Linked DNA regions of Tribolium castaneum. The protein of the gene in region 1 interacts with the protein of each later gene in a pairwise test. Links are inferred from orthologs where the notes say so. Each region holds a gene or a part of one and is shown in the gene's direction. Other genes may lie near its edges.

Region 1 (3,823 bases):
GGATCAAATCTACATCTCATTTGTTTTGTCTTAATCATCTCATATGCTGCGCAGTGCACGCTACTGTTTCCTTGCGATGTTTTCAACGTTTTGTTGAAAGTCTCAATCAAGCCACAAGTCTTTTAGTGCAGGAGGTAGTGTTTTTTTGATCTGGAAAAAAGTGCTACCTCCTGGGTATGTACTTTTGTGGCTACTTGGCCCAAGTTTGGCGTTTTTTCCCAGGCCGAGTGGGATGTCCCAACTTCATGGCCCCCGAAGTGATCGAGAGGCGATCGTACGGCAAACCCGTGGACATCTGGGGTGCGGGTGTCCTTCTCCACATCCTTCTTTCCGGCGTTTTGCCTTTCCATGGAAGCGGCCGTCGCCTCATGGAATCTATATGTCGCGGCAAACTGCACGTGAGTTAACTCCGATATTTTTGCAGCAGCTTATAAAACTCGGCGGCTTCCAGTTGGATTCGCCGCAGTGGGAGCTCATTAGTGATAGTGCAAAAGACTTAATACAACAAATGTTAACTGTGGATCCCAAACAGAGGATAACGATACAGGAAGTTTTAAATCATAGATGGCTGAGGGTAATTATGGCCGTTTAGATAAGAATGCGTCGACTGGAGGTCGGGGATTTGTTACAGGATCGCGATAAGGGATTAAGGATTCATCTCGGCGAGTCGGTGGAAGAATTAAAAAAATTTAACGCGAGGAGAAAATTAAAAGCAGTGATTTTGAGTGCGGTCAATTCGAGTAAATGGTATCCGTACGACGAAACGAATTCGGACTCGCTCTCGGACTTCGGCGACGACGAGATCTCGGCGTGCGGTAAGTGATTTCGATTTTTTCTCTGAGCGATTGTTAGAGTTGTGAAAAATCTTCTTTCGTTTCGGGTCTCAGAAAATTTCGCTAGCGGTAATTAGAGCTCGAATCGTCTCATTCGGGTGAAATATGGGAACAATTCGGGATGAACTGTTGATGTGCACAAACATAAACGTCTGGGGAACGCGGCCATTTATCACGAATTGTTGAAGGTTGTAGTGTTTCCACACCCACTCTTTAAGAATCGATGTTTGCGACGCAACAAGTAAAAAGGGTCTCGTTTGGTCATCATGAGATTTTCTTTAAGATTGTTTACACTGGCATCATCAATCGAGGGAATTTTTCTCTGCCGCTTTATTTAACCGAGAATGGCAGGAAAAAAGGGCCTGCGGTCGGGAGCACTTTGCAAGGGTATTGCGGTTACAAAGCGGTCGCTTGTAGATTTAATTATGAAGCTCCTTTCCGGGTTTTTCTAGGTCTTGTCGCCGGATTAGAGTAGATTGACCGTCTCTCGTACTCCCCGAGGTGTGATCTCACACACGCTGCAGCCAATTTTAATATAAAGTAGATGCTTAACGAAGGTAAACTACTCTTTATTCGATTTAGCCTTCCAGTAATGAGGCTCGTAATTGCTGGTAAGGAACAATAAAGAACTTTCTTTGCCTTTAAAACATGCAAATTAATTGCGACGAGAGGCGGCGACAAAGGGTTGTATCTATGGTGGAACCGAGTTATAAATGTAAATGACGTAACCCAGAGTAATTAAAACGGGAAAATCATATACGCAAAAATTATCAAGTGTACAGGGTGGAACCGTATATTTATTCCACTTTGTGTAGACTGTACCCCGAATTAAATTAAATTAAACGGTTGAGATAATTGTTCTATTCTGAGGAAACTCGCCGCTTAAATTTAAACGATTCAAGTTAATTACTATAAAAATAAATTTCGCCCAAATCACCAACAAGCGCTTCAATTTCTCCAAATACAGCCTGGCCCTGCGACTGGGTACATGTATTTACTTTTATTTGAAAACACAACGCCTTTCAACTACAACGTGGCGGTCGTTCTTAGGTGAGAATACAAACGAAACTAGTTTAACAATGTTGTTTTTTGCTTTATATACCAACTTTACTTCCTCCACCACAAACTAAGGAATAGAAGGGGGTTGTTATCGTAAGCGGTAAAATATTTTTTGCTCGTAGAAGTAAAATAAGTTTGTAAGGCAAAATATTGTTAAAACGCTTTGTTTTTTTCAAATAAAAGTTCGGTGTGACTGGTTTAAAATTGAATTTGTATACCCAGTGTCATAAAAATTGCAACACCAAGAAGGAATACGATTTTTTTGATGAAACTTGGCACAAATGTTAGTCTATTAGCAGGCATTAATTGATTAAAATTTGAACATTTTTAATCAAGTGGTAACACTTAAACTTTTTTACCAGCAAGTGTTTTTTTTCGTTTGTGACAATTTTTGAAGTGATTTTTTTAAATCCGTTTAGTTTTAAGTATTATGAAAACGAAAATATGCCTAGAGTATGTCAAAAAAAATTAACAACAATTAAACAAACTTTAAAGAAGCACAATTTTTGGGAAACGAATAGGTTTTTTTCATTTGGAGGTACTACTATTTGTTTGAATGGTAATCCAAGTAGCATTATGCGATGTTATCAGTATGATTAGAGAAGGTTCAGGACAAAGCAGAAGAGGAAGCAGCCTTAAAAAATCAATGAAGTCCAAAATGGTCATCTTCGTATTATGGTAATAATCCAAGTACAAGAAAAATTTCTGACCAATGGTTGAGTTCGAAGGTCGTCGTACTTCGCTTCTGACTGTTTACCGTCGAATTAGGTTATTTAGACTGCTTTTTGTTGGATTTCCTAAGTATGGGAGGAATGAGCAAAAACACAGCTTAAACCTGACACACCAAAACTTTTATTTGTAAAAACGTGTTTCAACCACAAAGTGGTCATTCTCAGGTGAAATATACACTGTATACACTGACCATATTATGGTCGAAATGCGTTGTGTTTCGGAATAAAGGTTTGATGGATCAGGCTTAGATATGCGTTTTTGTCCATTTCTCCCATAGCAAGAAAAACCAAAAGGAAACAGTCCAAATGACCAATTTCGATGGTAAACAGACCAAAGTGAAAACGACCTTTAAATCCACCCATTGGGCAAATATTTGTCTTGTAATTAAATTATAGCCATACCCTGAAGACGACCATTTTGGACTTCATTTGTTTTTTTTTAAGTATGCTTTCTCTTTTGCGCTGTCCTGGGCCTTCTCCAGTCTATGATTGATAACATTACTTAATGTTACTTCGATTTCTATCCAAATGACTAGCAATTTTCTAAATGAAAAACCCCTATTTGAAGTCCAAAAATCATGCCTCTTTCAAAATTGCTTAAATTGTTGTTAATTTTAGTTTTGTCGTCTCCAGGTCTAATTGTGCTTTTAGAACACCAAAACCTAAACGAATTAAAAAAAAAACATAAAAAGTTAGTCGGAAAAGCAATAAATTGGAAGAATAACACTTGCTGGTAAAAGAACTCAAATGTTGAAAACTCCCTTATCACTTGATTAAATTCGTTAAAATTGTAATCATTTATTACTCGCTAATAGTCGACCATTTGTGCCAAAAAATTCAAATTCCTTCTTAGTGTTGCAATTTTTATGACCTTATTTTCACACCAAGGAAATCAAGAAGCGCGGTCTACATGTATTTTCGGCAACATCCAGTTCTAAAGAAACCAGTACCAGTGTACATAGTGTATTATTGAACACGTGTTTGAGAAGTTTCCCTTTAAATTTGGCACAGAGCGATGTGGAATATTCCTGGTGTTTTAACGTTTCTATTATTCAGGCTGTTGGATGATCAAATACGTTGTAGGAATTCTTATTTGGTCTCTTTTACGGGGATCAGAGTGCAGTGCCGAAATTTTATTAGAAAGTTATCAATCATCGTTTTTGCGCATTGTGTGTTAAAAGCTCGTTTGTCGGCAGCCGT
Region 2 (4,563 bases), on another chromosome or scaffold:
GGAAAAAATCTCCCTTGGATGAATACAGCCTTTTCTCCCTTTTATGGTGAACAAGTCTCTTAAAAATATCGAAAGCTTAAAATTGGTTTGCATTTTGAATGAAATTATTGTCTCTAGACACAAAGAAGATTATTTTTTGAGCTTTTTAGGACTCTCAACCGAAAGTTAATTTTTTTTTAAAGTAAACATTAAAGTCGCAAATGATATTATCGAAACCTTTTACGTTAAAATTTATCTTATTTTTGATTTGTTTAATGCTAACTTATTTCGAATAGGTACGTATTTATTTCTAAATGTGATTTACAGAGTTTTGTTAATTTTTGATTCAATAAAACGTTATAATCGAATTCGGTTTTTACTTGAATTTCCCTCGTAGATAGTTTCAATATTTCAGTATCCGGCACAGTAGGTACTGCCAACCGAAATTTATCACAATCGGTTTTTGCAGCGGTTTTCTTCAAACCTGTGATAAACGTGTTCAAGCAGTCAAGTGACGAAGTTTTAATTTACGTAAAAGTGCGTGTAAACTAATTCTAACATCTAGTTATAATGGCTGAAGTACCGAAATCGCTTGAATGCCCGATTTGTTTCGATATAATGGAAGCAAAAATCCTCATTTGTGACCGAGGGCACAGTTTTTGTAGTTGCTGCCACAGAAGATTGAAGTTGTGCCCTTTCTGCGGAGATAGCATGATCGATACGAGAAATCTGTTGCTGGAAAAGGTGGTGAAGGCTTATTGGAAAGATCCATCAACATTTTGTAACCGTATGAGGGAGCAGCTCAAGGTGGAGATGCCCGTCCGTCGATCTTTAAAGAAATACTAATTTTGTATTAAAGTCAATAAAGTTTAAACAATTTTTTGATTTTTATTTAAAAGTCGGTTAAGTTGCTATCACATCATCGCGACCTCGGAGTGTTACACGCGAATAAGCGAGCAAAAAGAGTGAAAGTTTAAGATTTGAAACAAGAATTTGGGATTGAAAGGTAAGTGCCGCATACAATAAAACTACAAAACAGACAAACTGTAAGAAAATTACGTTTTTTTAAAAACAAGAAAAACTATTGTAACACGTTTCCACCTTAATTTTTTCACGTCGTTTAGTCAAAGATTTTTCTATTAAGAAAGAAAAAATAGACAAAAATATTTTTTTCGGGATTGTGCATTTGTTGGTGAAAACTGTTTCAGATTTAGGTATAAAACAGGAATAATAACGAATCTCTTTTTTAAATTTCTTGCTGAAAACGCTCTTAAATACATGGAATACGAGCAAGAAATTGTCTTCTTGTGATAAGTAAACCTGCTTTTCTGAAACAGCCTCAAAATTTCATAATTAAAAATAAAAATAACGCGTCAACACCTCAAAAATTTAAAACTTCCCATCGTGTTTTTGCCTTTGGTGCTTCCTCTGCTTAGGCTAAACGCCAATAACTCAAATCCGCCCTTGAGAGTTAATTTCATATATTCAAGCCAGCTGAAAGCTGTTTGTCTGGCGTGGATTGTCCTGAAGTGATCAACTGAAGCAGAATTGTCAAAAACAATCAAAGTTAGGGTAAGCAGATAACAAGCGTCCGTTTTTATCTACCCGTCTTACTTCAAAATCCGATCAGTAGTACGCAAAGACGCCGTTGCGTCCTGACGCCTGGCGCTCGAATCGTTTTCGATTTTTCGTTATTCAGTGGCGATATTCGGTCGGCACCGTGTTTATACCGCCAGTATAATGGAACATATCGTGCAAATATGTTCACTTCGTGCCCGCAAAAATCAAGAAAACCTCAAGCAAACTCCAGAAAAGAAAGTTTAAAAATGTAGTGATTAGCATCGGAATTCGTCTTTTTTCGCCCAGTTATGGAAATATGTACGAAAGTGCCGGTCTAGTGTCTAAAGCATGCACGTGCAAATTTTGTGCCCCCGAAAAAAAATACCATGGTGCGTAAGCTACGGCACTTAGACTCCGGCTAGTGTGGTTATGGCTTCGCAACGAATCGTGAAAGACTAACACAATGTCAGTTACGGCAAGATGACAGGCAAAACTTTGCGCTTTTGAAGAAACCAAAGATGCCGGGAGGACGAAGGGGCCTTGTCGCCCCCCAGAACACGTTTCTGGAAAACATCATCAGGAGATCGAATTCGCAACGTAAGGTTTTGCGCTTGGAGAAATTAACGAAATGAAAATTGTAAAAAGTGAGACGGTGCAGAAGGACGTAATTTAATTTAAGGCCGAATTAATTTTGCCATTAGGGAACTCCCATGACCCAAAATGGCGGCAGGCAAATTTGTTTTTGCGGACTTAAAAAAACGGCAAACTTTGCAGCAAGTCTACGTACAATGTTTGATTTAGACACTTTTTAAACACTCGTAAAAGTTGGTTTGTAGCTACATTTGTCACTTAGTAAACCATGACGGAACTTTTGATATATTTTCCATTTTCGCGTTCGTCGACCTGGTTAAACTCGCTCGGAGAAAAATATTTCTAATACATAAAGCGGTTTAGCTTAATCGCATTTATGCAAAGAGAAGTCGTATCAGTTGGCGTTTCATAATCGATATTTGCAAATGGGTTAATGATAGTGTGTGCAAGGCAAATAATGTATCTTGGCTGATGTAGTCTAGACATTGCAGCAATGACCTTGCCAGATAACCCGCATGTGGGTTAGTAGAAACAAGGAGTATGAAAGCCGAGGTCGTACCAACTATTTATCAGGTGTCAGAAGAGCTTTCGAGCTTTATTTAGGTTTTGGAATCGATGCCATGTGGCTGTTGAATAAAACACGGATGCATAATAAAGATTCAGAGATGGGAATGCAAATCACGAGGGAGTGCACTTGCTGACGACATTCAAGATTTGTCACCGGGAAAAACACATTGAGGGGTAATTTGAGGTGATGGATGGAGATCATTAACTGTGTTTAATGAACGTCTATGAATTTTGGGAGGAACTAAAGCCTCCTCCCCAATTTGTTATTTTTTAATGAGCTAAATTCGAAACTGCGATGATGAGGAGTTTTAAATTTGGCCCGGCGCATCCACCATAATTGATCACCGTTTGTTTAAAGCCCGAAACTTGGAGACTTAATATTTATGACCACCTCGTGTCTAAATTTTTACGATGCAGCAATACAGCAATTCACACTTATCGATTCATAATATAAAGCTATAAAATCAATTTTCTACTTCATTAAACCTTACATACGTCACCATTATGTTATAAAATTTTAACGAAAGTATTTACAATTATTTGAAATTAAATAATTAATTCTTTGGTTTATGCGGTTTGCGCGGCTTTCTCTTATTTCGTAAAGTTAATTAATGGAAAATTACTTAATTTGAGTTGAACCAGCGGTTAATTATCAACTTTGAGGAAAGTTCGTTTTTAAATTGACAATTTAATTTCGTAAACAAATCTACCTTCGGGATTATTTTACAGCTGGCAACACGTCGTGTTTGTGTACTTTGCACACTACAGTATGACAGGCACAGTGACAAGCAAATATTGTGTTAGAAAACAAGCTACAGAATCAAATACGAAATTAGAAAGCAATCAAAAATTTAGCGAAGCGAGATTTGATTATAGGGTGACTTGACATTCTTCTTCAATAACAAATGCACAACAATAGGTGTTTCATAATTGATCGAGAAAAGTATAATTCCTATTCAGGTGTTGGTAACAAACCGAACGTTTTGTATTGATTTAGTATTATCCGTTTCAACAACATTTCAGTACGAAAATTTTGTATTACCATTAATTTTATTATCCAAATGTTGCCGGAATTATTAGTATAGAAATTTTGAAACAAAGTTCATACTTGCGGTACTAAATCCTTTAAATAGGGAATAAAATCTGTATTATTCAGTATGTTGTCAATAAGTTCATGTTTTGCCAAATCACCACATACGGTGCTGAAGCCAAGGTTTCATAAAACTTTTATTGGACGACTCAAATGTATATTAAATATTGAAATGAGATCAAAGATATTGTTCGGTTCCGCCTACCACTGTTCGTTCTGTTGGCTGCAAAAGAATCTCATTTTAGGACGCGTGATATTTTTCTTCTTTATGGTGCACTACTTTGATCCCAACCTTGATCGTTTTTTATTTAAAAAGCGAGTAGTAGAGTAGTACAAAGATATTTTTTGTAAATATTTGAGAAACTTCTTGACATTTTTATGATTGATGTTGAGGTGCTCAATTTATAATAAACTTTCTCTCTTCTCTTTTATAATCCGAGCACAAACTCGACTCATGAACCAAGAACGTAAAATGAATAATCCCAAGGTGGCGCGTTTTTATTTCGCCAAATAATAAGAAGGTGCGTTGGTGTAACATAATTCTCGTTTATCTCTGACATGTTGTAGAATTTTTTATGGTTCAGCTAATTAAGAGTTTGTTATTTACACTTTAGAAATATGTCAATAATAGCTTCTCTTACGTTCAAAATTAATTCATTAAACTCGGAAACTCTCAATGTTGATTTTCGATTTTGAAACTGTTGTTAAGGGAGCAACGTAAAGTGTTCATACCGTTGTCAATAAATTGAACTAATGACGTGCTGTAATGAAGTTTT

What was found.
Region 2: the proteins of CASK (region 1) and eag interact in binary tests that used the Drosophila melanogaster proteins (3 or more experiments, as listed by UniProt). The link is inferred for Tribolium castaneum from reciprocal best matches to the Drosophila melanogaster genes CASK and eag.

The regions. Positions count from the first base shown.
Region 1 is NC_087400.1:7,151,836-7,155,658, reverse strand, and holds part of CASK (peripheral plasma membrane protein CASK), read left to right. Parts: intron 1-222; coding exon 223-398; intron 399-451; coding exon 452-574; intron 575-631; coding exon 632-815; intron 816-3,819; coding exon 3,820-3,823.
Region 2 is NC_087402.1:8,616,595-8,621,157, forward strand, and holds the start of eag (potassium voltage-gated channel protein eag), read left to right. Parts: upstream 1-1,650; 5' UTR 1,651-2,057; coding exon 2,058-2,136; intron 2,137-4,563. UniProt on the Drosophila melanogaster protein: Structural component of a potassium channel. Mediates the potassium permeability of membranes; potassium current is regulated by CaMKII and CASK. Has a role in growth of the perineurial glial layer of the larval peripheral nerve.